6 linked regions of the Nothobranchius furzeri genome follow. The protein of the gene in region 1 interacts with the protein of each later gene in a pairwise test. Links are inferred from orthologs where the notes say so. Each region holds a gene or a part of one and is shown on either strand. Other genes may lie near its edges. The genes, in order: kifc3, creb5b, hsbp1b, sox5, necab2 and zbtb8a.

Evidence for each region.
Region 2: the proteins of kifc3 (region 1) and creb5b interact in binary tests that used the Homo sapiens proteins (3 or more experiments, as listed by UniProt). The two-hybrid records come from large-scale screens. The link is inferred for Nothobranchius furzeri from reciprocal best matches to the Homo sapiens genes KIFC3 and CREB5.
Region 3: the proteins of kifc3 (region 1) and hsbp1b interact in binary tests that used the Homo sapiens proteins (3 or more experiments, as listed by UniProt). The two-hybrid records come from large-scale screens. The link is inferred for Nothobranchius furzeri from reciprocal best matches to the Homo sapiens genes KIFC3 and HSBP1.
Region 4: the proteins of kifc3 (region 1) and sox5 interact in binary tests that used the Homo sapiens proteins (3 or more experiments, as listed by UniProt). The two-hybrid records come from large-scale screens. The link is inferred for Nothobranchius furzeri from reciprocal best matches to the Homo sapiens genes KIFC3 and SOX5.
Region 5: the proteins of kifc3 (region 1) and necab2 interact in binary tests that used the Homo sapiens proteins (3 or more experiments, as listed by UniProt). The two-hybrid records come from large-scale screens. The link is inferred for Nothobranchius furzeri from reciprocal best matches to the Homo sapiens genes KIFC3 and NECAB2.
Region 6: the proteins of kifc3 (region 1) and zbtb8a interact in binary tests that used the Homo sapiens proteins (3 or more experiments, as listed by UniProt). The two-hybrid records come from large-scale screens. The link is inferred for Nothobranchius furzeri from reciprocal best matches to the Homo sapiens genes KIFC3 and ZBTB8A.

What each region holds. Positions count from the first base shown.
Region 1 is NC_091749.1:65,941,281-65,944,892, reverse strand, and holds part of kifc3 (kinesin-like protein KIFC3), read right to left. Parts: intron 3,196-3,612; coding exon 3,034-3,195; intron 2,566-3,033; coding exon 2,418-2,565; intron 2,286-2,417; coding exon 2,155-2,285; intron 737-2,154; coding exon 625-736; intron 545-624; coding exon 363-544; intron 103-362; coding exon 1-102. UniProt on the Homo sapiens protein: Minus-end microtubule-dependent motor protein. Involved in apically targeted transport. Required for zonula adherens maintenance.
Region 2 is NC_091745.1:35,742,021-35,745,632, forward strand, and holds part of creb5b (cyclic AMP-responsive element-binding protein 5), read left to right. Parts: intron 1-594; coding exon 595-672; intron 673-1,383; coding exon 1,384-1,477; intron 1,478-3,612. UniProt on the Homo sapiens protein: Binds to the cAMP response element and activates transcription.
Region 3 is NC_091744.1:87,756,918-87,760,965, forward strand, and holds hsbp1b (heat shock factor-binding protein 1b), read right to left. Parts: upstream 2,622-4,048; 5' UTR 2,528-2,621; coding exon 2,483-2,527; intron 1,732-2,482; coding exon 1,665-1,731; intron 1,534-1,664; coding exon 1,412-1,533; 3' UTR 1,407-1,411; intron 962-1,406; 3' UTR 526-961; downstream 1-525. UniProt on the Homo sapiens protein: Negative regulator of the heat shock response. Negatively affects HSF1 DNA-binding activity. May have a role in the suppression of the activation of the stress response during the aging process.
Region 4 is NC_091741.1:56,411,070-56,415,446, forward strand, and holds the start of sox5 (transcription factor SOX-5), read right to left. Parts: upstream 2,877-4,377; 5' UTR 2,681-2,876; coding exon 2,604-2,680; intron 1,284-2,603; coding exon of another isoform or gene 1,261-1,283; intron 1-1,260.
Region 5 is NC_091744.1:83,414,527-83,418,138, forward strand, and holds part of necab2 (N-terminal EF-hand calcium-binding protein 2), read right to left. Parts: intron 251-3,612; coding exon 114-250; intron 1-113. UniProt on the Homo sapiens protein: May act as a signaling scaffold protein that senses intracellular calcium.
Region 6 is NC_091758.1:35,826,802-35,831,039, forward strand, and holds the start of zbtb8a (zinc finger and BTB domain-containing protein 8A), read right to left. Parts: upstream 2,909-4,238; 5' UTR 2,775-2,908; coding exon 2,623-2,774; intron 1-2,622. Other genes in the region: gale (UDP-glucose 4-epimerase), read right to left, coding at 4,087-4,145, 4,221-4,238. UniProt on the Homo sapiens protein: May be involved in transcriptional regulation.

The sequences.
Region 1 (3,612 bases):
CATGGTATACGTTTTCCCAGAGCCCGTCTGTCCGTAGGCAAAGATACAGACGTTATATCCGTCAATGCAGGAAGTGACCAACGACTGGACTTCCTGGAACACCTAATGGACCATTCAGAGAGAAGACCAACAGGTGAGGATGATAGAAGCCAGCTGTGATAAGGACAACAGCTAAATCGAGCCAATCAACCGAGTCATCGCTAAAACCTAGATAATGTGTTCGGAAACTTCCAAATGACCTCTGACTCATGTGACTCACCTGTACCTTCAGCTCAGAGAACATTAAACCTGCACAGATCAGAACCCATGGGTCCCCTGACTCAGCAGGTGGGCCCAGACACAAGTCAGGAGATCCTGCTCACCTCCTCCTGTGTGGCTTGAGGTGGGAAGACCTTGTCCAGCTCAAACGTCATCGTTTTGCCCTTGTTGGAGATGTAGAGAACATCGCTGTCGTCAGAGTCGAAGCTCAGAACCGTTCTGGAGTCGGCAGAGTCCTGCTCATCCTGACTGACGGGCCGAACCCGACAAAACACTCTGATGTTACCTGTGAGACAAAAGGTGTGGACGTTAGGGTTCAGGTTACAGGTGGAGGTGTTTCCTCAGGTGGGGAGGTCTGGTTCAGACCTTTGAGCCGGACCAGCTCGTTGTGGATCTTCTTTCTCAGGTTCATCTCTCGTTTATATTTCTGCAGCAGGTCCTGGCTGGTGCTGCTCACCTGACTGATCACCTGGCAAATCTGACAAACACACACGTGGTTACAGCTGACCTTAGGTCAAAAAGTAGAACCAGAATCTTCTGGTGAGCAGATGGAGTAAACTAGTGTGTGTGTGTGTGTGTGTGTGTGTGTGTGTGTGTGTGAGCTTCAGCTAAAATCAAATATGAAAAACTCACTACTCATGTAAAAAGGGGCGGTTATTTTATTGATGCTACACGATTACATCCCATAAGGGTAACGCGGCCTCAGTAATCCTATAAAAAGGAGTGAAGTCGCTCCAAAACTCCACGCTGTAGTTCTTTTTTAAAACACAGAGCAGTTTCGTTACCTGTTTTCCCGCTACGTTTCGTCTGCGGCTGCAAACTTCCTCAGGCTGACGCTGATGGTGGCGTCACTTCCTTCTCCGTTTATCCGCGGGCAGCAGAGGACGTTGTCGCCCTCTGCTGCCCGCTCTCCCCTCTCCGATGATGCAGTCCCGTACACGATCCAATGTGTCGACCCCATCGTCTCTGTTCATGGTCCCACATCCACGTCTCCTTATCTCGATTGCTTCTTTTATCCATCTTTTGTATTTCTGTTGTTCCGTGTTTATGATCCTTGTGTTGTCCCAGTCCATTATATGGTTTTCTCTTGTGCCGTGATCTGTTACGGCTGACTTCTCTTTTGTGCTTTCTGCTTCTTGTTTTGTGTGTTTTCGACTTGTTTCTTTCTCGCACTCCTTTCTGTGTTCTATTGTTTGTGTGTTGAGTTGGCGTCTGGTTTCTCCTACGTATGTTCTATTGCAGAGTTTGCATGGGATTTCATATAAACGGAGAAGGAAGTGACGCCACCATCAGCGTCAGCCTGAGGAAGTTTGCAGCCGCAAACGAAACGTAGCGGGAAAACAGGTAAACAAAACTGCTCTGTGTTTTAAAAAAGAACTACAGCATGGAATTAGAGCTACGACACAGCGAGAACACACCTAAGACACAACAAAACTGCAAAAGGAAAGGGCAGACGTGGAGCTTCTCCAAGAAACACAAACTTTTAATGGAAAACTATTGAAATATAACCTAAACCTCTATGGTCGAGAACAACTTTAGACTTTATGTTTATGTTTATTTATTTAGCAGACGCTTTTATCCAAAGCGACTTACAATTTATAGCCTATAGGGCACGTTGTGATCTGTGGGGGAAACCGGAGTACCCGGAGGAAACCCACACATGCATGGGGAGAACATGCAACTCCAGGCAGAAAGGCCGCAGCCGAGTTTCGAACCTGCGACCTCCGTGCTGCGAGGCAACAATGCTAACCACTGCGCCACCATGCAGCCCTTTAGTTAGGGAACAGAAGTGATTCTATTCTATTTACTCCCTAGATGACCGTTTACCGCCCTACTGCCGTCTATGCTCACTTCCTGTACATTTTCTACATTGATAAGAAGAACAAAGCAGCAAACCTCCTGTTTGGCGTCTCTGATGGCCTTATCCAGCATGGAAGGGAAGTCCTGAGCCTGCTTCTTCAGACTGTTGTAGTCCACCGTCAGAGTCCTGAGAGCTGGCTGTAGGGTCAAAAGGTTCAGACGGACCCCTGCAGACAGCAACATGGTCAGGAGAGCACACACACACACACACACACACACACGCACACACACACACACACACACACACACACACACACACACACACACACACACGCACACACACACGCACACACACACACCTGCCAGGTTCTCATGGACAGCTTTCATCTCGCTCTCTGCTCTGATGAACGCCTCCTCAATCACGCGGTTCTTCTCCTCCTCCAGGTTCTGCATCTCCACCTCCAGCTGACTCTGAGCTCGCTCCATCTCGCCCTTGTAGACCACGATCTGAAGTAAACAGCCAGAGCGTTTGTGTATCAGAACCTCATCCTCATCAGGAGCTTCATCTTCATTTGAGGAGTTTATTGTGTGGCTGAGATTACTACTGGTCCAGACCTGGTCCCGACAGACCTGGTTGAGATCTGAGGCCTCATTTGTAAAAACCTCTGTGCAGGATCCGTACTAAAACTCTGCTGAAACTCTAAGCAAAGTCATTTCTTTATAAATCACACTCTTAATAGAAATGTATTTGGGGTTTTTGGATCACATGCCATCTCCTAGAGTTCTCAATTCTAAACGGAGTCTGACCCGAGTAAGCCCTACAGGTCTCGTTGGTTTGTAATCGAGTTAACTGGGCAGGCCGAGTCGGGTCAGACACTGAGGATACATTATGACAGTTGTCCAGTCTCTGTTACCATGGTGATCTAGAGTCCAGTCTTGTTCTCAGAAACGGTTCCCTGCAGCACCTGTACCTACCTGGGTTCGAAGCTGAGTGCAGGTCCTCTGTGACTCGTGCAGCTGGGTCTTGAGCTCCTGCAGCAGTTGCTTCTGCACAGACAGCTGCTCCTGCAGGACGTCGTTCTTCATCTGCATCTCTGTCCGAACTTTCTGAGAGTCCGCCTCTGTCTGGGGCACATACTGAGAGACAGAGTTCAAAGGTCACTTCACCTTTGAATTTAATCATGAGTCAGGGTGCATGACTTGTCAGAACAAAACACAGGTCTACTAGATCTGGTCTCTCGTCTACAATGTCTGGTTCCCGATGCCTGGTCCCTAGTATCAGGTCCATGGTCTCTGGTCCCTGATGCCTGGTTCCTAGTCTCGGGTCCATGGTGTCTGGTCTCTGATGCCTGGTCCCTAGTCTCAGGTCCATGGTGTCTGGTCTCTGATGCCTGGTCCCTAGTTTCGGGTCCATGATGCCTGGTTCCTAGTCTTGGGTCAATGGTGTCTGGTCTCAGTTCCCTGATGCCTGGTTCCTAGTCTCAGGTCCATGGTGTCTGGTCTCTGATGCCTGGTCCCTAGTCTCAGGTCCATGGTCTCTGGTCCCTGATGCCT
Region 2 (3,612 bases), on another chromosome or scaffold:
ACATCGTTCCTGTTCTCGTGTCTGACTCAGGTTTCATGCATGACCTGAAGAGTCGATTAACGTGTGCTACGAGACACTTTTCTGGTGAACAGGGTTGGGGTCGGGTATGTTTTCTATCTAAGAGGATCTAAGAACCAAGCTAAATGTGTTTAGAGCTGTAAGGACATTTGGATTAAAAGTTGTGTTTATATATTGAAAATGAATTTAACTCTTAACTAACTGTCCACTGCTTACCTTACAGAACGTTCCTCAACACAACTCTAGCAACTAAATCAGCAAAACCTTTAATCATTTCGCTGGTTTGATGCATCAGAAATTTGCATCTTCGCTGGTGATTGTAGATCAGTGCAGAGCAGCGTGTTCATTCTTGAGAAAACATTTATGACTTAATTTAAATTAGCTAAACGAAACAGGATTAGTACTTCTTACTGTATATTTGTTCTTATACAATCTATTGAGAATACATGTTATGCTTTAGCAAAACTTCGTATATTTTATGTAAAAATGCATTTGAAATATACTTTTTCAAGCTTTTTCAAAGTTACTGTTTCAAGGAAACAACAGTTCATATTTTCTTTTTTATGTTTTCTCTAGTTTTATGAGACTCTGGCCAGAGGGATGAACTCAGACCAGGAAAGGCTGTTTGTGTGTAACGCTCCCGGCTGTTCTCAGGTCAGTGTGGGTACAAACCAAAGCCCGAAACCACCAAGCAGCCAGACTTTCTTGTAATATTTGGTAGTGTTCTTGATCAATAGTTCTCCAGGTTTTTGGAAAGATTTTTATAGACTTTGACGGTTATTTTACTAGTTTTCTGTCCAGTTCTTAGGTTTGATCATGACACTAAGGATGGAGGACAAAATAAGTTTAGATCTAAAATAAACTGTCTGCAGCAGATGAACGATCTGAAAGTTGTATTTTTAATAAATGGAGAAAAGAAATCAATCAAAAAGTTGATCCAGGACGTGAGAAATGCACCATCCTGGTCTTGGCCCTGTGTCGCTACCTTTTTTTAATAAATTCAACAGAAAAATTGGAACAAGTGAAGTCTTTGTGACAGACTGATCTAATTTAAAACTGTATTTTTGTCTAGTTGCTTGTTTAGTGTTGATGCAACAGTGGCTCATGCCTTGAGTTTAGCTTCCCACGCTTGAACGATTCACTGTCAGGATCAAGTGGCTTAAACAAGTAACAGAAAAACAGATCAGTTCGTTTTCAGGCACTGGACTGAAAATAGCTGAAACTAACAGCAAAAGTCCAGATTTATTACTAGAAATTCTGATTCTTCCGAAGCTAAAGCAGGGATGTACCTCAAGACTTTTAGACAGTTTCTTCTCGTTAGTGTAAATAATACTCACACACCTCTTCTTCTTCCAAACCGAACAGCGGTTCCCCACGGAAGACCATCTGATGATCCATCGACACAAACATGAGATGACCCTTAAATTCCCCAGCATAAAGAATGACAACATGTTATCAGGTGAGTTATGACAGCATCAACACTGTTAGAGTCCAGCAGCTTTGCTCGCAGATGTGTGCCAAGGTGACGCATGCACACACATTCTTGTCTGTCATTAGACACCTTTATGGCAAGCTGTTTACAGTAATGTAAATCATATGGTGCGTAGCCTTCAGCTCACTTCCAGTCATTGCATACCAACGGTGCAAACTTCAGCGGAGGCAGATGCACTCACATAGCCGATGCAGACGCGCTCACATAGCCGATGCAGACGCGCTCACATAGCCGATGCAGAAGCGCTTACATAGCCGATGCAGACGCGCTCACATAGCCGATGCAGACGCGCTCACATAGCCGATGCAGACTCGCTCACATAGCCGATGCAGACGCGCTCACATAGCCGATGCAGACGCGCTCACGTAGCCGATGCAGACGCGCTCACATAGCCGATGCAGACGCGCTCACATAGCCGATGCAGAAGCACTCACATAGCTGATGCAGACGCGCTCATGTAGCGGATGCAGACGCGCTCACGTAGCCGATGCAGACACACTCACATAGCGGATGCAGACGCACTCACATAGCCGATGCAGACGCGCTCACATAGCGGATGCAGACGCGCTCACATAGCGGATGCAGACGCGCTCACATAGCGGATGCAGACACACTCACATAGCGGATGCAGACACGCTCACATAGCGGATGCAGACACACTCACATAGCGGATGCAGACACGCTCACATAGCGGATGCAGACGCCCTCACATAGCGGATGCAGACGCACTCACATAGCCGATGCAGACGCGCTCACATAGCGGATGCAGACACGCTCACATAGCGGATGCAGACACGCTCACATAGCGGATGCAGACGCGCTCACATAGCCGATGCAGACGCACTCACATAGCGGATGCAGACGCCCTCACGTAGCGGATGCAGACACACTCACATAGCGGATGCAGACACGCTCACATAGCGGATGCAGACGCGCTCACATAGCGGATGCAGACGCGCTCACTTAGCGGATGCAGACGCACTCACGTAGTGGATGCAGACACGCTCACATAGCGGATGCAGACGCGCTCACATAGCGGATGCAGACGCACTCACGTAGTGGATGCAGACACGCTCACGTAGCGGATGCAGACACGCTCACATAGCGGATGCAGACACGCTCACATAGCCGATGCAGACGCGCTCACATAGCGGATGCAGACGCACTCACATAGCGGATGCAGACTCACTCACATAGCGGATGCAGACGCACTGACATAGCCGATGCAGACGCGCTCACGTAGCGGATGCAGACGCGCTCACGTAGCGGATGCAGACGCACTCACGTAGCGGATGCAGACGCGCTCACGTAGCCGATGCAGACGCACTCACATAGCGGATACAGACGCGCTCACGTAGCGGATGCAGACGCGCTCAAGTAGCCGATGCAGACGCGCTCACATAGCGGATGCAGACGCACTCACGTAGCGGATACAGACGCGCTCACGTAGCCGATGCAGACGCGCTCACATAGCGGATACAGACGCGCTCAAGTAGCCGATACAGACGCGCTCACGTAGCCGATGCAGACGCGCTCACATAGCCGATGCAGACGCACTCACATAGCGGATGCAGACGCACTCACATAGCCGATGCAGACGCGCTCACGTAGCCGATGCAGACGCACTCACATAGCGGATGCAGACGCGCTCACGTAGCGGATACAGACGCGCTCACGTAGCGGATGCAGACACACTCACATAGCGGATGCAGACACGCTCACATAGCGGATGCAGACGCGCTCACATAGCGGATGCAGACGCACTCACGTAGTGGATGCAGACACGCTCACGTAGCGGATGCAGACACGCTCACATAGCGGATGCAGACACGCTCACATAGCCGATGCAGACGCGCTCACATAGCGGATGCAGACGCACTCACATAGCGGATGCAGACTCACTCACATAGCGGATGCAGACACACTCACATAGCCGATGCAGACGCGCTCACGTAGCGGATGCAGACGCGCTCACGTAGCGGATGCAGACGCACTCACGTAGCGGATGCAGACGCGCTCACGTAGCCGATGCAGACGCACTCACATAGCGGATACAGACGCGCTCACGTAGCGGATGCAGACGCGCTCAAGTAGCCGATGCA
Region 3 (4,048 bases), on another chromosome or scaffold:
TCTAAACGACCAGTTTCTCCCAACAACAAAATGTTATTTAATGCATGAAGAAGTTGGAGCATGCAACATTCACATATTCCAGATGGAGTATTGTGCATAAGTCTTAAGCCAGACAGTCCTTTTATGAAGCTGGACTCTTACAATATTAGACGCGTTGCAGAATAATTATCCTAACATTAATTCATTCACTAATGAAAATAGAAAATCTCAGTTTTAGGTGCCGGATGTCCTCAAAATAGAGTAAAAAAGCAAATGGGATGGAGGTAAAATGTGGCAAAAAGTGGGCAACCCTGGGTGATCAGGTGTAACTGCTTTTTCAAGCCTAAACCATCAAATCTGAAGTTTGCATACAAAGATTAAGAAGAAATGTAAAGGCCTACATACTTAAATAGGTGGCTCAAGACTTTTGCATAGTACTGTGAATAATGTACAGCACAGTTCTGGCTTATAACGTATAAAACAAGCACCCTAGCGTTAACTTTAGTTATTCAGAAACTAATCAAACCACTGAAATGGATTGCAAACTGCAGTATAGAGATAGCTTTAATAGATCAGACGTGGAATGCATTTAGCACATCTGGAGCAACAGGGCTGGTGGTCAAACACGGCAGCCCGTTCAGTATGTCGTATCCATGCTGCGGCCTGGCAGCCAGTGGGGTTTGCTCCTCAGACGAGCTTTACCGACATGGATCCAGCTGCACCATCACATACGGGGACTGACACATTAAACGCTGGCAGCTAAAGAACCTCTAGAAACTGCTTTCTTCCACCTGAAGATCAGAAAGACATATCAAACTATTCTACCTTGCAAATGATGCTCAACCTTTAGCTTTAACATTACCGTAACCATCTCACAATATTCAGTATATAAAAACATCTAACATAAGTCATAAGTAAGTTTTAGTGAAGCCTGCTGCCTCCAGACACACTGGACCGACTTCACACCGCGTGGTTAAGAAACCTGTAAGACAGAAAAAAGCATTCATAACTGGCGTGCAATTTAAAATGTACTAACTAGAAATTCAAATATGACGTCCTAAAGCAGTGCTCCCCAATCCTGGTCCTCAAGGGCCACCATCCTGCAAACTTTAAAGGTTTCTCAGCTTTCACACGCCTGCATTTGATCAGTGGATGAATAACAAGCTTCTACAGACTTTGATGGCATTGTGACAGGGTGAACATCCTGTCCCTGGCTACTTGGCCATGGGGATGTCCCTTTGGCTGACTGGTTAGCACATGTGACTCTCACCCGGGAGTCTGCGGATCGAATCCCGCCCAGGTCCATGTTTCTCCACCTTGCCACAACATAAACGGGTAATACAACTATTAAGTCTGTCGAAGAAGGAAACCACTAAAACATGCTGGACGGTGGCCCTCCAGCCTTGGTATACCATTTCACTTTTTACCTTCATTACGATCCCTGACCCTCTTTAGCCTTTTCCGGCGTTGCCTCAATCTCTTCAACGCCGGCCTGAGTCATCAGGTCAGCGATGTTCTTCTCTAGGTCATCAATACGCGTGCTCATCTCATCAAGTAGAGATTTGGTTAAGGAAAACCAGAAAACTAACACTTTCCTGGGTGAAATCCGTTAGTATGTGATTAAAAGGAAAAGTATTTAGTAGATTTGAATGACAATGCTCTGTTCATTAAAATTGTTAGGATATTCCTTCCAATTATCTGGTCTGACATGGTCTGAAACTTGTCCTGCATCTGCTGCAGCAGTGTCTGAACCTGTAGAAGAAACAAGGTGTTAATCAAGAAATGATGACGCTGATATAATACACATCAAAATAGTCAAATGTATAGTTGATTAGTTTCTTAGGATGTGAAACAGTCGTGACATTTTAATTACCGGTATCTGGGAATTGAAAACAAAGCCTGTGATCTATGAACGATATCTAAAAGAGGCGAAAATCCATCAGCTGTGTCCCCATGCCAACGGAGGAAAAGATTGGTAACCATGGAGATCTGCTTTTAATTCATTCTTAGAGGATGTGTGGTGGACAGAGAAAACACCCACACATTCGCAGTTAGGACTCTGGTCATCTCAAAAGGCAGCTAGCTGTGAGGGGTCATTCAGCTCTTAAACGCCTCTCACGAATGCTCATCTCCATGGAAACACTGAAACATTGGCCAAGATGTCTTTGTGAGACACTAAATGATTACGTAACGCGCAAATGTGCTGTTTAATATCACATTTGAAAGAGAACAATTGAAAACATGTCTTAATTGTTCAATAAATCTTACTGATGTAATAATGCATCCTACAGTAACGAATGCTAAAGCGGTTTGTTGTGACTGATTAAGCTAAATGTCAGGACAGTTTAGCTAATGCAACATTTGATCAACAGACGTGTTAAACTGGAATATTTACACAAGTAAGCGTGATTATGTGAATACCCAAATACACTTGAGCAATCTTACTAGCAATGCAAGCTAGCAGTAGCTAGTAGCACTAGCTTGCATCACGGTCACGACTCACCACATTTGTAAGGTCCTGCACCGTCTTGGGATCCGTCTCAGCCATGTTGTGAATGTTAATCCGTGCCTTCACAATACAATAAATCAGCTATAAATCACCGTTTTACTATTGGACCGCTCAGAACAGACTAACACTCGGTAGAATCTTCTGCAGTCAGCTGTTCCCACAACAAAGACAAGTCTCGCGAGAGTTGAGTGGTGCTGGGCCGTGTGGAAGATGGAGTTCTGATGGGAAAACATGCACGGTACTTGTGTAGTTCATGCTCAGCTTGCCAAGAGACGCGCTTCTTTATGAGTGTAGGCTCTAATTGTCCATTACATGAATCGGTTGTAGCCATAGACTGTACATACTTACATACTGTAGGTTGTAGCCTTTCATAAGAAAACATGTTCATGTCCGCGCGAGCGCGTGCATGCGCACGGCCGAGCGCGCACGTCTTCCTCCGTTTTCAGCAAGTTTGGATTTGAAACTTGGAGCTGCCAAGAGTTTCCGTGTGTTTTCACGCCCAGACTGCGTGAGAGTGGAGCCTTGTACATAAATAAGTTTGTTTCACACTGACGGGACGTGAATGAAGGCGCCTGGTAAGTAAAGCAGCAGCAGAGGATGTTTAGGAATGTCGCGACATCATAATTCCAGAGAGCGAATCAGATCCGCGGGTATCAAGTAGCGCTTTGCAAACTACCAGTTTAGTAGGGACGTGTTGTTATTTATTAATACTTTTTGGATTTAATTATGAATTCAGCATAAAAGAGCACACATTCCATGTTTATATATATATATATTTGTGTGCGCGCAGTAACTCCAACCCAGTAGCCCTATGTTGATGTTGCGGGTGTTGTTAAAGTTGGCCCTGCCCCATGAAACTATTTGCTTACATAACCTGAACTTGTTCTCCTGTGTGCCACTCAGCATCTGGTGTGTGTGAGTTTAAACGTCCAACCATGAGAGACTATTTCACGTGCTGAAAACATGTTGAATTAAAAAATAAATAAATAAAACGTTTGCATTTATAAACTTGCAGATGAACCAGGTGTTTAATAGATATTATTAAAGGATGGGTTTGCTCCATCAGCTCCAGCATTTGTTGGCTAATCATGTGTTCATCACATTTTCTGCACTGCACACCAAAATGATGTTTAAAGTTTTCTTATAATATGAACAGAGAGCTTGTTGTTTGTGCTCTGATGGCAAAAGCATCTCTACAGCTGCTGCTGTGTAATTAGTCCACTAGCTGACTGGAACATCAGTGAAACAGCACAGTGGTGAGTTCATGGGCTGTACCTCCTAGCTTTGATGAGTTGGTTTCTCAACAGATGGAACAAACAACACCGGCACCTCTCTAAACTCCACACACTCAGCTAGCTGTTCGCTCTGAATGTGTGGGTCATAGTGGACACTGCAGCATGTTACTGGAGGTGTTTTATGTTCCTGTATGAACCTGCTTAAGTCGGTGTATGTAGTGGGCCTGGATGGTAAAAGCTAATGCTTGTATATCAGTCAGAAGCCCGTTAGGAGGAAACGCTGGCCTGGCTGCATTAAGACACTATCTGCTAACTGTGGTATTCT
Region 4 (4,377 bases), on another chromosome or scaffold:
GCCGAGACGTGAGGCCACAGGGGAAGAAGAGGGCAGAACGGCGCATTAGTTTGCAGAGCACGGACATTCTGCTCAATTACTCTACTCCCCTCTCATTCACACACACACACACATTTTGTATTTCTCCCCCCAACACACACACTTTAATCTCACCCCTTTAAATGGACTGCGACTCTGACACCGGGAGCTGCGCAGCGCGGCGCTCAGACTGGAAACAAGTTGTTTTCTGCTGCTGCAAACCTTTCACTCCAGAATCCGGGACTCCAAAATAAAATCCAGCGAGAAAACAGGAGGAAGGTTTGCACACGAGTCACGCCGTTCTTCATCAAGTAAGAGAAGCTGCACAGGATGTTGTTGCATTAAATCAAGTATTACACATGCAAACATGTTTTGGTTAATTTTTCTAAAGTAAACGTTGAATATAGAACTTTTATCAAAAGTTTGAAAAACAACAAACAAACTTTAAAACTTAAAGTTCAACTCTAAAAAGACTGATTTTTGTCTTTCTCCACACACACACACACACACACACACACACACACACACACACACACACACACACACACAGGGGACAAATGGAGGGGTGTGAAAATCCACCACCACCTTTACACCACACAGACAGACCCCCCCCCCCCCCCCCCCATCTCTGGCACTCTCACTGGTCTGTAAACCTGCTTCTTCTGTCTGCTGGTGAGGAATGTGTCAGTTTGACCACACTGCTTCTCTCCGTTCATCTCTCCATCCTCCAACTCCCTGAAATCTCTAAATTTTTTGTTCCATCTGCATTTTGATTGCTTTGGCTCGCTCCAATTTTGTTATTTATTTATTTTTAATCTGTTTGTGCAAATAAATAAGCCGATGTTTGGTTTCACTAATTTCCCTTCTTGCCTTTAAGTTCAAACATGCATTTGGAGAAGCCGAGCGTGAGGAAAAGAGTGTTTGGAGTATGAATACAAAATGTTTAAATCACAGAATATTAGAAGCAAATAAAACAACGTATAATATGACATTTAAAAAAAAATCCCAAGACTTTTAAAGTTGAAAATGAATAATTGTAAAACCAAAATTCTGTCTTATCTCAACTATAAAAAAGCAGCTTTTCAAACATGCTTTACCACCCGTCTCTACAAACTAGTTTAAATAAAAAAACGAGTCAGTGGTTAATTTTAGAAGAAGAAAAAGGAACAAAAGAAAAAGAAAAGTAAAAGAGAAGGAAGTGAAGGAGGCAGCGTGGTGTGAAGCAGGCGAGCGGACACTTACAGTAGCGCAGGAACCGAGAGCATCATCGCAAACCTCTGGGGCTGGAGTACACTCTGGTGACTCGCGCACCACCAAGGGACCCCCCCCCCCCCCCCCACACACCCCCCCACACACACACACGGCCGTAGTGATGGAGTGCATTACTGGAAAGCAAGAATTTTAAGCACTCTCCTCCTAAGTCATTGTAATCCCTGCATTTATCTCCATACATTCTGCTTTTTGGTGTAATCCCTTAAATTTTTAATTCCTCCAAGCTGTTGTTATCACCCCCCCCCCAAACACTTTGCAGTTTAATAAAAACACATTTTTTAAATCACCCCAATGAAGTTAGCTTACCTCAGAACAAAGGGCGTGAGACGCAAAAGCCCAAACTCAGAGAGCTACTTTAATGTGTGAGTTTGAATGAAACAATATTAGAACATAATCTGCCTCTCGCTGCGTTAGGATCAAACAGCCTTTATTCTGAAAGCCACTTGTGTTGACAGTGCAGGGTTAGAGGGTTCACACCTCTAAACGAAGCAGGCCTGCACAAACACCGTCAGATTAATATTAGCATAAGGCACGAAAACAACAACAAGTCCAGAGAGGGATTACCCAGGGGCTTTTATTGAATTTGGATTAAAACGAAAAGAATGTTTTAAATAAATACAGAACCCAACATTTCAAATTCAGCTGATTTTAGATGTCTGTTCAGATTCATTAGAGTTTTCTTCTCCTGCAGCTGAACGCTGACGGGGTGCAGAAGTAAATAAAGTGATGGCGTGAAAAGGAGATGATGAGAGATGATCACACGCACACATCTCTCTGTTATACACACATGCACCAGCACTCTTTGGAAGTAATGATTTGAATGAACACAACTTTTTATGAACACAACTTTTTGTCAGGACAAACAGAGAGGAGCAGGAGGAGAGACGGAGGGAGGGTTTCTGTCACACACTGTATATTACTTGATCTGCTCTGAAGTGAATCATCAACTCTATTTTTGTCTCTCTCAAACACACACACACACACGCATGCACACACTTGCGCGCACACACACACACACACACACACACACACACACACACACACACACACACACACACACACACACACACACACACACACACACACACACACACACACTCAAAGTTAACTCGCCTGACTGCTTCACACATTTTTACTTCTTCATCCTTTCTGTGTTTCTGTTTTGTCTTCTGTCATCTTTCTGTGTGTTTGCATGTTTGTTTTTGTGTGTGTTTGTTTGTGTGTGCGTGCATGCGCGCGTGTGTGTGTGTGTGTGTGTGTGTGTGTGTGTGTGTGTGTGTGTGAGTGAGAGAGAGAGGGAAAGCGTCACATACCTGTTACACTCCTGAGGTAGCTCAGGCTCAGTGAGCATGCTGGAGTAAGGGTCCGTCTCTCTCGACAACAACAACATAAAACAGTCCAACAATGCTCAGATGAACAAGGTTAGTCTCCCAAAACAAGACCGGATTGAAGTGATCCTTCAACCTCTCGCTCACACACACTGCTGTTTCTCTCTCTCTTGGTGCGCGTGTGTGTGTCCCTCTCTCTCTTTACTCACACACTTCCAAGCTTACACCCTCCCTCTCTGTCTTTCTCTCTGCCTCCGTCCCTCCTATTCTCCCTCCCTCACTGTATGCTGTGAGAGCCGGGCTCAGCTCTTAAAGGGCCAGCGGCGGCGGAGCCCCCTCTCCTCCCCTCTCCTACTCCCCCACCTCTCTCTTTCTCTCTGTGTTCAGTAAGAGAGTGTGTGTACAAGGGAAGAGGAGGGGCTTCTTGACCAGAGTTCATCAGTGCTGTCCACTTCCTCAAGTCGCTCCTTTTTTCCTCTCTCTCTCTCTCTCTCTCTCTCTCTCTCTCTCTCTCTCTCTCTCTCTCTCTCTCTCTCTCTCTCTCCACACACACACGCACGCACGCACATGCACGTACGCACGCACACACACTTCATTATGCAACATGAAAAGAATTATTTAATTTCAGAAATAATTTTCCTCCTTTATAAAAGATTCAGACAACTTTTTCATTATTTCCAAACTAGTTTATATAAAAATGTCAAAGCTGTTATGTGCAATGATCAGGAATCATTCCTGAGCCTAATTCAGTCACGCGATGTGGTCACTCAAAAAAAAGTTTTTTTTTTTACTCTTTCATATGTTTATATAATGATATATTAAAATAAAAAACATTACGTGTTGCTAAATTAAAATTACCGTAATTTCCGGACTATAGAGCGCACCTCAATATAAGCCGCACCGGGCTAAATGCCGCAGATATCTACTGAATTGAAAACGTAGTTTAACTGAACGTAACTGAACTGATCAGTATCAAACAAAAAAGTTATTGATTAGTTTATTCATCATCCTCCTGCGCACTGAAACCACTGAAGTCTTCTTCTTCTGTGTTGGAGTTGAACAGCATCAGAAGAGCTTCGTCACATACCTTTTCTGTGGCGATGTCAGTGTCGCTCTCCGTGTTGCTGTCATCATCCCGGGGTGAAGCTGGGAAAACAAGCAGCGCCGTTTTACTGTGAAAAAAATCCTCCTGGGCGCTTTCCGTAGCACTCCTTTAACCATTCCTTTATTACTTTCCAGCATCCATCCTTTCTGGTTGACTAAAGCCGCACCTCATTATAAGCCGCGTGGTTCAAAGCGTGGGAAAAAAGTAGCAGCTTATAGTCCGGAAAAAACGGTAACCCTTACATTGTTCCATTTGATAGAGACAATGTGTCGTTTTTAAGAATAATCTCTGGAATTATCCATCAAAATGTTGTTGAAAATGACTTAAATGATGGCCAATTGTTGAAACATATTGGTGACTTTGTAACACATAATCATGTAATACACGAGAGCGGGTGTAAAGCTGTGTCCAAATCCAGGGGTAGGATGCTTGTGAGAATGCATTTTCAAGTCGATGAGGTCACAGCGCAGCGACGAGTACTGTCTGAATTTAAAGGATACTCATTCACGCATCCTCAAATGCGTCCTCGCTTCTACCAAAATTCAAGGATGGGTCTGGTGTGTCTTCACCAGACAAGGCTTTCCCAGCATGCTTTGTGCGCCTGTCGTTGGGTTTTCAACAGGAAGGAGAAAGAGGAGAGCAGCAAAGTTTTAA
Region 5 (3,612 bases), on another chromosome or scaffold:
AATCAGAGTTTTACACATTATGCTACGAAAGTGATGCAAACACACACACACACACGCACACACACACTTCCCCATCTCACACGTGGCAGCTAGCGATAGCCTCGCCGGCTCACCCCAACTGGCCGTGTTGCTCGTCGATCGCGTCCACAGCACTTTCCACGGAGCTCAGCAGGGACTGGATCTGATTGGCAGATTCCTTCAGAAGAAAACGCGTCACAAACTGCTCCACGTTGGTTCCCCTTTCATAAACCTGGAAAAAAAGGAAATTTTTCAACATTTAAAAATAAGAAAAAGTGTCTTCAGAGCAACAGAGTGATTCATTTAACCACAGGGCTTTACTGTAACCTTTGTGCTGCAATGATTCACTTTGCTTTCATTGAAATTTGGATGGACGACTTCTCCATGAGTTTCTGCTTGTTGAGCCTTAAAAAACCTTTTGGCGTCGAGTTAAGTCGCCGCCTGTGGAGACGCGCTTCAGTCGGCAGAAAGGATCCTCTGTATTCTTTCAGTTTTTATTAAGGATTACCACGAGGCAAGGCTGATACGTTAGCAACCTCCTCCAATTCAACGCAACAGCTTTGTGGGAAACAGGCCAAGAATCGATGCGGTCGTCTGCTGTCAGCATCACTCACACCCCTAACAAGAGAACAAGAGCGGCTCACATGAACAAAAAGGAGCGTCGTAGATCTGCATTTCATGGAGACGGTTAAACGTGGTTCTGAGGAACCTTAAAATAACTATTTAGAAGGTTTAGAGACAAGTGAGTGTTTAAAGGGACATTATGGAAGTGTGACAGCTAAAACATGTATAGAAATAATAAATGTCTTCTTCATACATTCTCCTGCAATGCCCTGGTCCTGTAGAATGAGCCCTGGCATTTTTACTGTGATTGCCTGTTTTTCTGTAAAATCACAGAAAAAGAGAGATGCTCGGGTCGAGCAGGCTGCTTCATGCGCGTTCACGCTCAGGCATCGCCCGTAGCATTTGCTATCCGTAGCTTTAGCAGCAGAGAGAGAGGCAGTGCCACTTTGTCGCTGTTCCTAACGCCTAGTGACAAAGCTAGCTACATTTCTGAGGATCCTTAGCTACTTTCTGTAGAACTTTCTTCTAGATATTTCCTGCAAATTAGCAACAAAATAGCCATTTTCACTCCGAACCGTTCTTTGGTTTGTCGTTGTTTCAGCTGTCATCAAGGATATAAATGTTACAGATACAAAAGACATCACTGGAGCTTTAGCTCACCAAGTAAGACGTTGAACTCTCGTGCGGAAGACCTGGGTTTGATTCTGGATGTGAACATAGTTTATTTAGAGTTTATTTTTTACATTAATGGTATATTTTTTTACAGTAAGACGCCCAAATTTTTATTTGAGACTCGCTGAACGGCATTGAATTCACAGATAAAAAAGATGTGGGTTCAACTTTCATTTTGGAACAATTTTTCAAGCAAGGGAAGGGAATGATCTGAGCATGCAGGAGGACTGACCCATCTTAAACCTTTGTCGGCTGTGCTGAAGAGAAAGGTACAGAACCACATTATTTAATTAATTAGCTGTGCGTTCTCCTGTCCTCTGTCCTCCGGGCAACACCCACCCCCACCCCCCACCCCACACACCCACACACGGGACTGTCTCAGCTGTTATTTTCGTTAAGGAGTGTGCACGTACAGCATGCGCGCCTCGCACACGAGCCTACTATTGAAGCTGCCATTACACTTTTGGCCTGAGGGGGCAATCGCGAGCATAAAAATTCAAAAGTCCGTAAAGTCCCATTAAATTTTCAAAATAGACATCAAAGAAGCCCGAGCATCAACTCTGATGACCTCTCTGCAACTTCTTAATTATTTATGAATACAGTGATCCCTCGCTACTTCACGGTTCGTTTATCGCGGATTCACGACTTCGCGGATTTTTTCTTTGGAGCCTTATTCAAGGGAAATTCGCTGATTCGCGGTATTTTTCTATGCGAAATATCAAGACATTCCAGTTTTTTTCCATCATTTCATCATAAAATGCACTATTTGTAATAAAACTATAAAAAAACCAAGTAAAAATACAGTACTATGTAAAGGGAGGGTTTTAAAAGTCTGAATACTGAATACATACCTGTTAAATAAATACTTTAAATATGGTGTCCCTACATGGCGGATTTTCACCTATCGCGGCCAGGTCTGGAACGCATCTACCGCAATAAACGAGGGAAACCCCTCCTCTGCTCAGTCAGCATCCAATCAGAACAGAGCACAGCAGGCCTCGTCACATCCGGAAACTTTTACCAGCCGTGTGCATTAGACTGTGGTGACGCTGGGGGTCCTTTCAAAACAGCATTAGCTAAATTAGAAAAAAGAAAGCTGCGAATGAAGAAGCGTCCAAGGTAATCAGGCTAAGCAGAGTCAACTCTTGCTTAGAAAAACTGCTTTAGAACTATTTGAAAACCTGTTTTAGCAGAAATCCATCTTCAGAGTCCACCGTGGCGTGGACACCATCAGTCAGCGCTAGGTTTTATTATTCTAGCGATTCGTCAATGCAGAATTCTTCACGCCTCCTGGATTTTAAATATCTAGCAACTCTTTCATGAGGAAGTCCATCCCAGTTTGTGCCCAGCTCATGTTCACTTCAGAAGCTCTAGGTAGATTATGAAACAATATCAGAAGGGCTTTAATTCTGGATTAGAGCTTTTAATTTAGGGCTGCATGATGAGAAAAAATTACACATTTTATCATCTAGACTCAAGAATTTGTTTCTTAGCTAATACAGTGTCCTCTGCATTGGTAGGGTTAGAAATAAATCATGGTTAGGGTTAGGGAACAACTATTTCCTGGGTTAGAAATGACAAGTCCTGCCAGATCCTCCTGGAACGTAGAGCAAATATCTGGACAGACCACACCACGATTCTGCTCTTCGGTCTAGCCCGGCTCCACAGGAGCCTCGGTAGTTTAGTGGGCCAATCACAGCGCTTTATCGGTTTGGTGGGCGGGATCATGCGATTGAGCAAAACAACTGATGGCGACAGCTCATTTGAGATGGCTTTGGCATCAACTTTGGATTATTTAGTTGGGCCCAGAGCAGATAGAGGTACGGAGGTCCTTTATAAAAAAGTAAAAATATAAAAGATGTATTTGAGTCTTCTTGTACAGCGTATGACGGACTGCTCCATTGACTGACACCTGTAGCGGTGAGTACTTCACGCTGTTTGTTGTCCAATAGCACGTGGAGACCGTTTGAAAGACGACTGTAGATCCCGCCCCTTGGCTGAGTCGGTTTATGGGTCGTGGCCAGACTATAAACTCACATGGCCTGCCAGGATACCAGGGACGCTGCATTCGTCCTTTTTTCTAGAGTAAAAAAATTCAACATTGATTAACACCAGCCTAAAGGAGTTCTGCTGTGTGGTGGGGTTGCTAATGCTAACAATTAGCTTCTGCTAGCAGAGATGGACTCTCTGCTAGCAGCCTTACCCGGTCATGAGCAAAGATGGCTGACTCCATAAATGTAAATTTTACAATGTGACGTAGATTTGAGCGGCTTCTTTCAGAGGCTAATACAGGAAATGGGGATTAAAGAACATTTTCACATCCAACCTGGTTGTGAAACTCAGAGTGGCCGATCATTA
Region 6 (4,238 bases), on another chromosome or scaffold:
AAACCGAGTCTGGGCCCCTCTCTCCGTAGCAGCTTCAGACCCATCTCTAAACTTCCGTTCATCTCCAAGATCTTGGAAAAGGCTGTGGCTGTCATGTTGAGGGTGTGGATGACGGCAGACCACGTGTGGTGGAGCAGATCAGGAGGCAGGAATGCAGGCACGGATGAAATAAAAGTAGTTTTAATGGCAGAGCGGGAACGACAGAACAAAAACAACGCTGACAACAAACAATGATCTGACCAAGACTGATACAAGAAGGGAGGTATAAATACACAGGGGCAAATCAGGAACACCTGGGCAGGTGAAACCAGTAGGGACTAATAAACGGCAGGGGAGAGACACAGTCAGGGAGGCAGGAGCAGAATGTGACAGTGGCTAAACAACTCACAGCTGCTCTTGATGAACAGAACATCTATGATAGCTTCCAGTCAGGTTTCCGTAGAGCTCATTCTACTGAAACAGCTCTTCTTAGGGTCTCTAATGACCTTCTGACTCACAGTGATGCAGGGGACTGTTCTGTTCTGTTCTGGTCCTGTTGGACCTGACTGCAGCCTTTGACACTGTTGACCATCACCTGCTACTGGAGAGGCTGAGAGACTGGGTAGGCCAATCAGGAACTGTTCTGGAGTGGTTCTCCTCTTATCTTTCTGAGCGCTCCTTTTCTGTGGCCGTCTCCAAGTTTAGGTCCTCCACCACCTCTCTTACCCATGGTGTCCCACAAGGTTCTGTGCTGGGGCCTCTGCTCTTCCTCCTCTATCTGCTTCCTCTTCAGCACATCCTGAGCTCCTTCAAAGGAATCTCCTACCATCTTTATGCAGATGACATCCAACTGTACATCTCCTTTAAGCCCCATGAGATGTCTAAGCTGCAGCTGTTACACACCTGCTTAGACTCTATCAAAGCCTGGATGGCTGGGAGCTTTCTACAGCTGAATGAAGATAAGACTGAGATCCTCATCTGTGCCCCAGACAAGCTGGTTCCTAAAGTCAGAGACTCTCTTGGTCAGCTTGCTTCCCACACCAAACCTTCTGTCAGGAATCTTGGCGTGACCTTTGACCCAGCTCTCACCCTGGATTCTCATGTCAGTTCTCTTGTTCGCTCTTCCTTCTTCCATCTCCGGAACATTGCTAAGCTGAGTCCCATTCTGTCCCGCTCTGAACTTGAGAAAGTTCTCCACACCTTCATCTCCTCACGCTTAGACTACTGTAACTCTCTTTTCACGTGTCTGAGCAGAACCTCCCTGAACCGTCTACAGGTGGTTCAGAATGCCTGTGCTCGGCTTCTGACTAGGTCCTCCAAACACACCCACATCACCCCGCTTCTCCTCCAGCTTCACTGGCTGCCAGTCATCTTCAGGGTTCATTTCAAGATCCCGGTTCTGGTCTATAGAGCCTTACATGGACAAGCACCATCTTACATTGGTGATCTTCTTAGTCCAAACACCCCCAGCAGGTCCCTGAGGTCCAGTGATCAAAGCCTACTGGTTGTGCAGCACCAGGCTAAAGGTCAAAGGTGACAGAACATATGCTGCTGTGGCCCCCAGACTCTGGACCTCTCCCCCTGAGCCTGAGATCAGTGGACTCAGTGGTCTCCTTTAAAAAGCAGCTGAAGACTCACTTGTTCAAGCTGGCTTTTGGATGACCTTCTTCACCACTCTCTCTTTATTCTGCTCTCCCCACCTATTCCACCTTCCTCAGGATCCACTGATTTCCCTCTTTCCTATTCACTCTCTCTCTTTCTTTACATTTTTTAATCACATTTGTCTATTTTTTGCTCATTTTAAACATATTTTAAACATTTTCTTAATTCTTTATATTTTTACATTTTTTGTTTTTGTGAAGCACCTCGTGATTTCTATCTTGAGAGGCGCTATAGAAATGATATTTTCTTCTCCTTTAGATGGTCTCTCAGTCTAAGATGGATTACTGAAATAGACTTTGCATCATATTCTAATTTTTCAAGTTTCACCATTATACTGCTGGAAAATCAGTTTTATCTTTATCCTGGTGCCACATTAGCAGATTTATAAGTTGAACAGAGTTAAGATTGTGGGTTTCATCCAAAATCTCCCGACTCTTGTTGGTGTGGTTTGGATTTGATGACTGAAGCATAAGGAAACAAATCAAACAGGGGCCTCAGTTTCATGTGGAGGAGACACAGCCACAACATGGTCACCAGCTTGGGCACACACTGCTGTGGGATGGCATTGTGCCAGTCAGAGTTCAATGGGGTTGATGTTTTCCATCTGCAGGGCGTCTGAGCTCTCACTTAGAGACAGGGTGGGAAGCTCGGTCATCTGGGAGGGGCTTGAGGTAGATCCACTGCTCCTCCACATCAAGAGGAGCAAATTGAAGTAACGTGGGAATCTGGTTTGGATGCCTCTTGGACGATATGTTCAACCAGGAAAGACCTAGGACACAATATACTTTATTTCCCGTCTGTCCTGGGAACACCTTAGGATTTCCCCAGAAAAGCTGGCCTCGGACAAGCAGAGGAAAACAGATACACACTCTGAGATGTAGTTTCCTTAAAACAAACGAACAACAAAGGTGGTTCACACACTGATCCAAGTGTTGATGAGTCAGCAACCGCTCCCAAACTCAGCTGACCCTATGGACTTACCTAAGCATAGCTGAGGGTGACACAACCGTCTCTCTAAACTGGAACACCTCCAGTTCTGATCGCCCACCCAACTTCTTCCTGATTTGTGATTGGCTGAGCAATCCTTCAGTCAGAACATCTTTTTCATGTGCAACGCCCGACTCGAAGAGCATCGGGTGACAAACACTTTAATCAATCCTGTGCTGAGTTCAAAGCGCGCTGGGAAATCCAGCCGTCCAACTAGTCACGACTGGCCGGATGAGAAAATGAAATTAAATACAGCAGCCGGACTCCTTAAAGAATAAAATTATTCAGCACCGAGCTATATTGCAGCCTCGTTTTCTTTCCCCGTTCTGCAGCTTAGATATGAAATATCTGAATCAGGCTCCGCGTCGCCCGATAATAACCCACGGTACACCCGCCGGAAGCACCACGGTTATTATTAAATAGCATTTAAAACCAGAAGGGATCTTAGTGGAGATCAATTCGGCGATTGAAGGAGTCGTTTGACCTAGAAAACAGTCCGGTAGCGCTGCAGTCCTTCGAGAGAAAAGCGGGCAGCGCCGCACCGGAGCAGCCCCGTCTGTCCTGGAGCGACGCCCACTTCAGGCTTCAGCCAGCACACAATAGAAAACAGCCTCACGACCCTCCTGCTGCTGGCGAGCTTTGAAATAAACACATCAGCGCTGATTTAATCAGCCTAGACGAACGAGGCGGCAGCACACCCGGTTTTTTTTATCCCCACTTCTCCCCGGAGGTCCGGAGAGCAGCGAGATCAGCCTGCTGCCCGCACCGAGAGGCTCCATCTCAGGCGAGAGGTGTCGGCAAGACCCGCTTACGCCCCACAAAGAAAAGCCATCGATACTCACTGGTGACTGGATTCACCCGGCGCCCGGTAGAGTCGACTCGCCCCTAAATCTGCCACCATGTCCATTTTCTGGTGCTTTCTGTCGCTTCGCTCGGCTCCCCCCCACCCTGCGCGCGTCCAGGGTCCACAGCCAGCACTTCCTGCTCAGCCCTAAAGACCGAAACCCGGCCACAGCGACTGGAGCTGTGTGTGCTGACGTGGGTGTTTATGCACAGGGTGCCCGAAGGTCCAAGGAGCCACTTAAAGCCCCAGTGTCCCTTTAAAACCCACCACAGCGTTCCCAGAGCTCAGGTTAACACCGGATTTCTGCAGATCTCCATTTATATACACTCTATAGTTTGGCTTCTGCAAAAAACGAACAAAAAAACAACAACCTAAAAACCAAATTAAACAACATTTTAGATTACTTATGATTAATTATTTCATTATTGTGATTTTAATGCACAAAAACATTGAAAAGATTTTCTTCAGCTGCAGTTTATTTCAAAAACAGACTGAAAATGGATTGCAAATATATATTAAGGCCTGAGATTAAGTTTATGGGTTATAGGAAAAAAAATGCTGAAAAAGTGATCATTTTAAATTTTTTGCAGCATTTTAGAAACAAATCAGCTGCATCAAGATGTGCTGTTGAATCCTGTGGGATTCATGGACTGCCAACGCCACAGATCCTCACCTGCGAGAAACAAAATCAGGCCATTATCTAGGAGTCGTCCCGCATTATTAAGCGTGTGGTTCATCAGGAGCTTACACATTCTTTCCAAGTCAA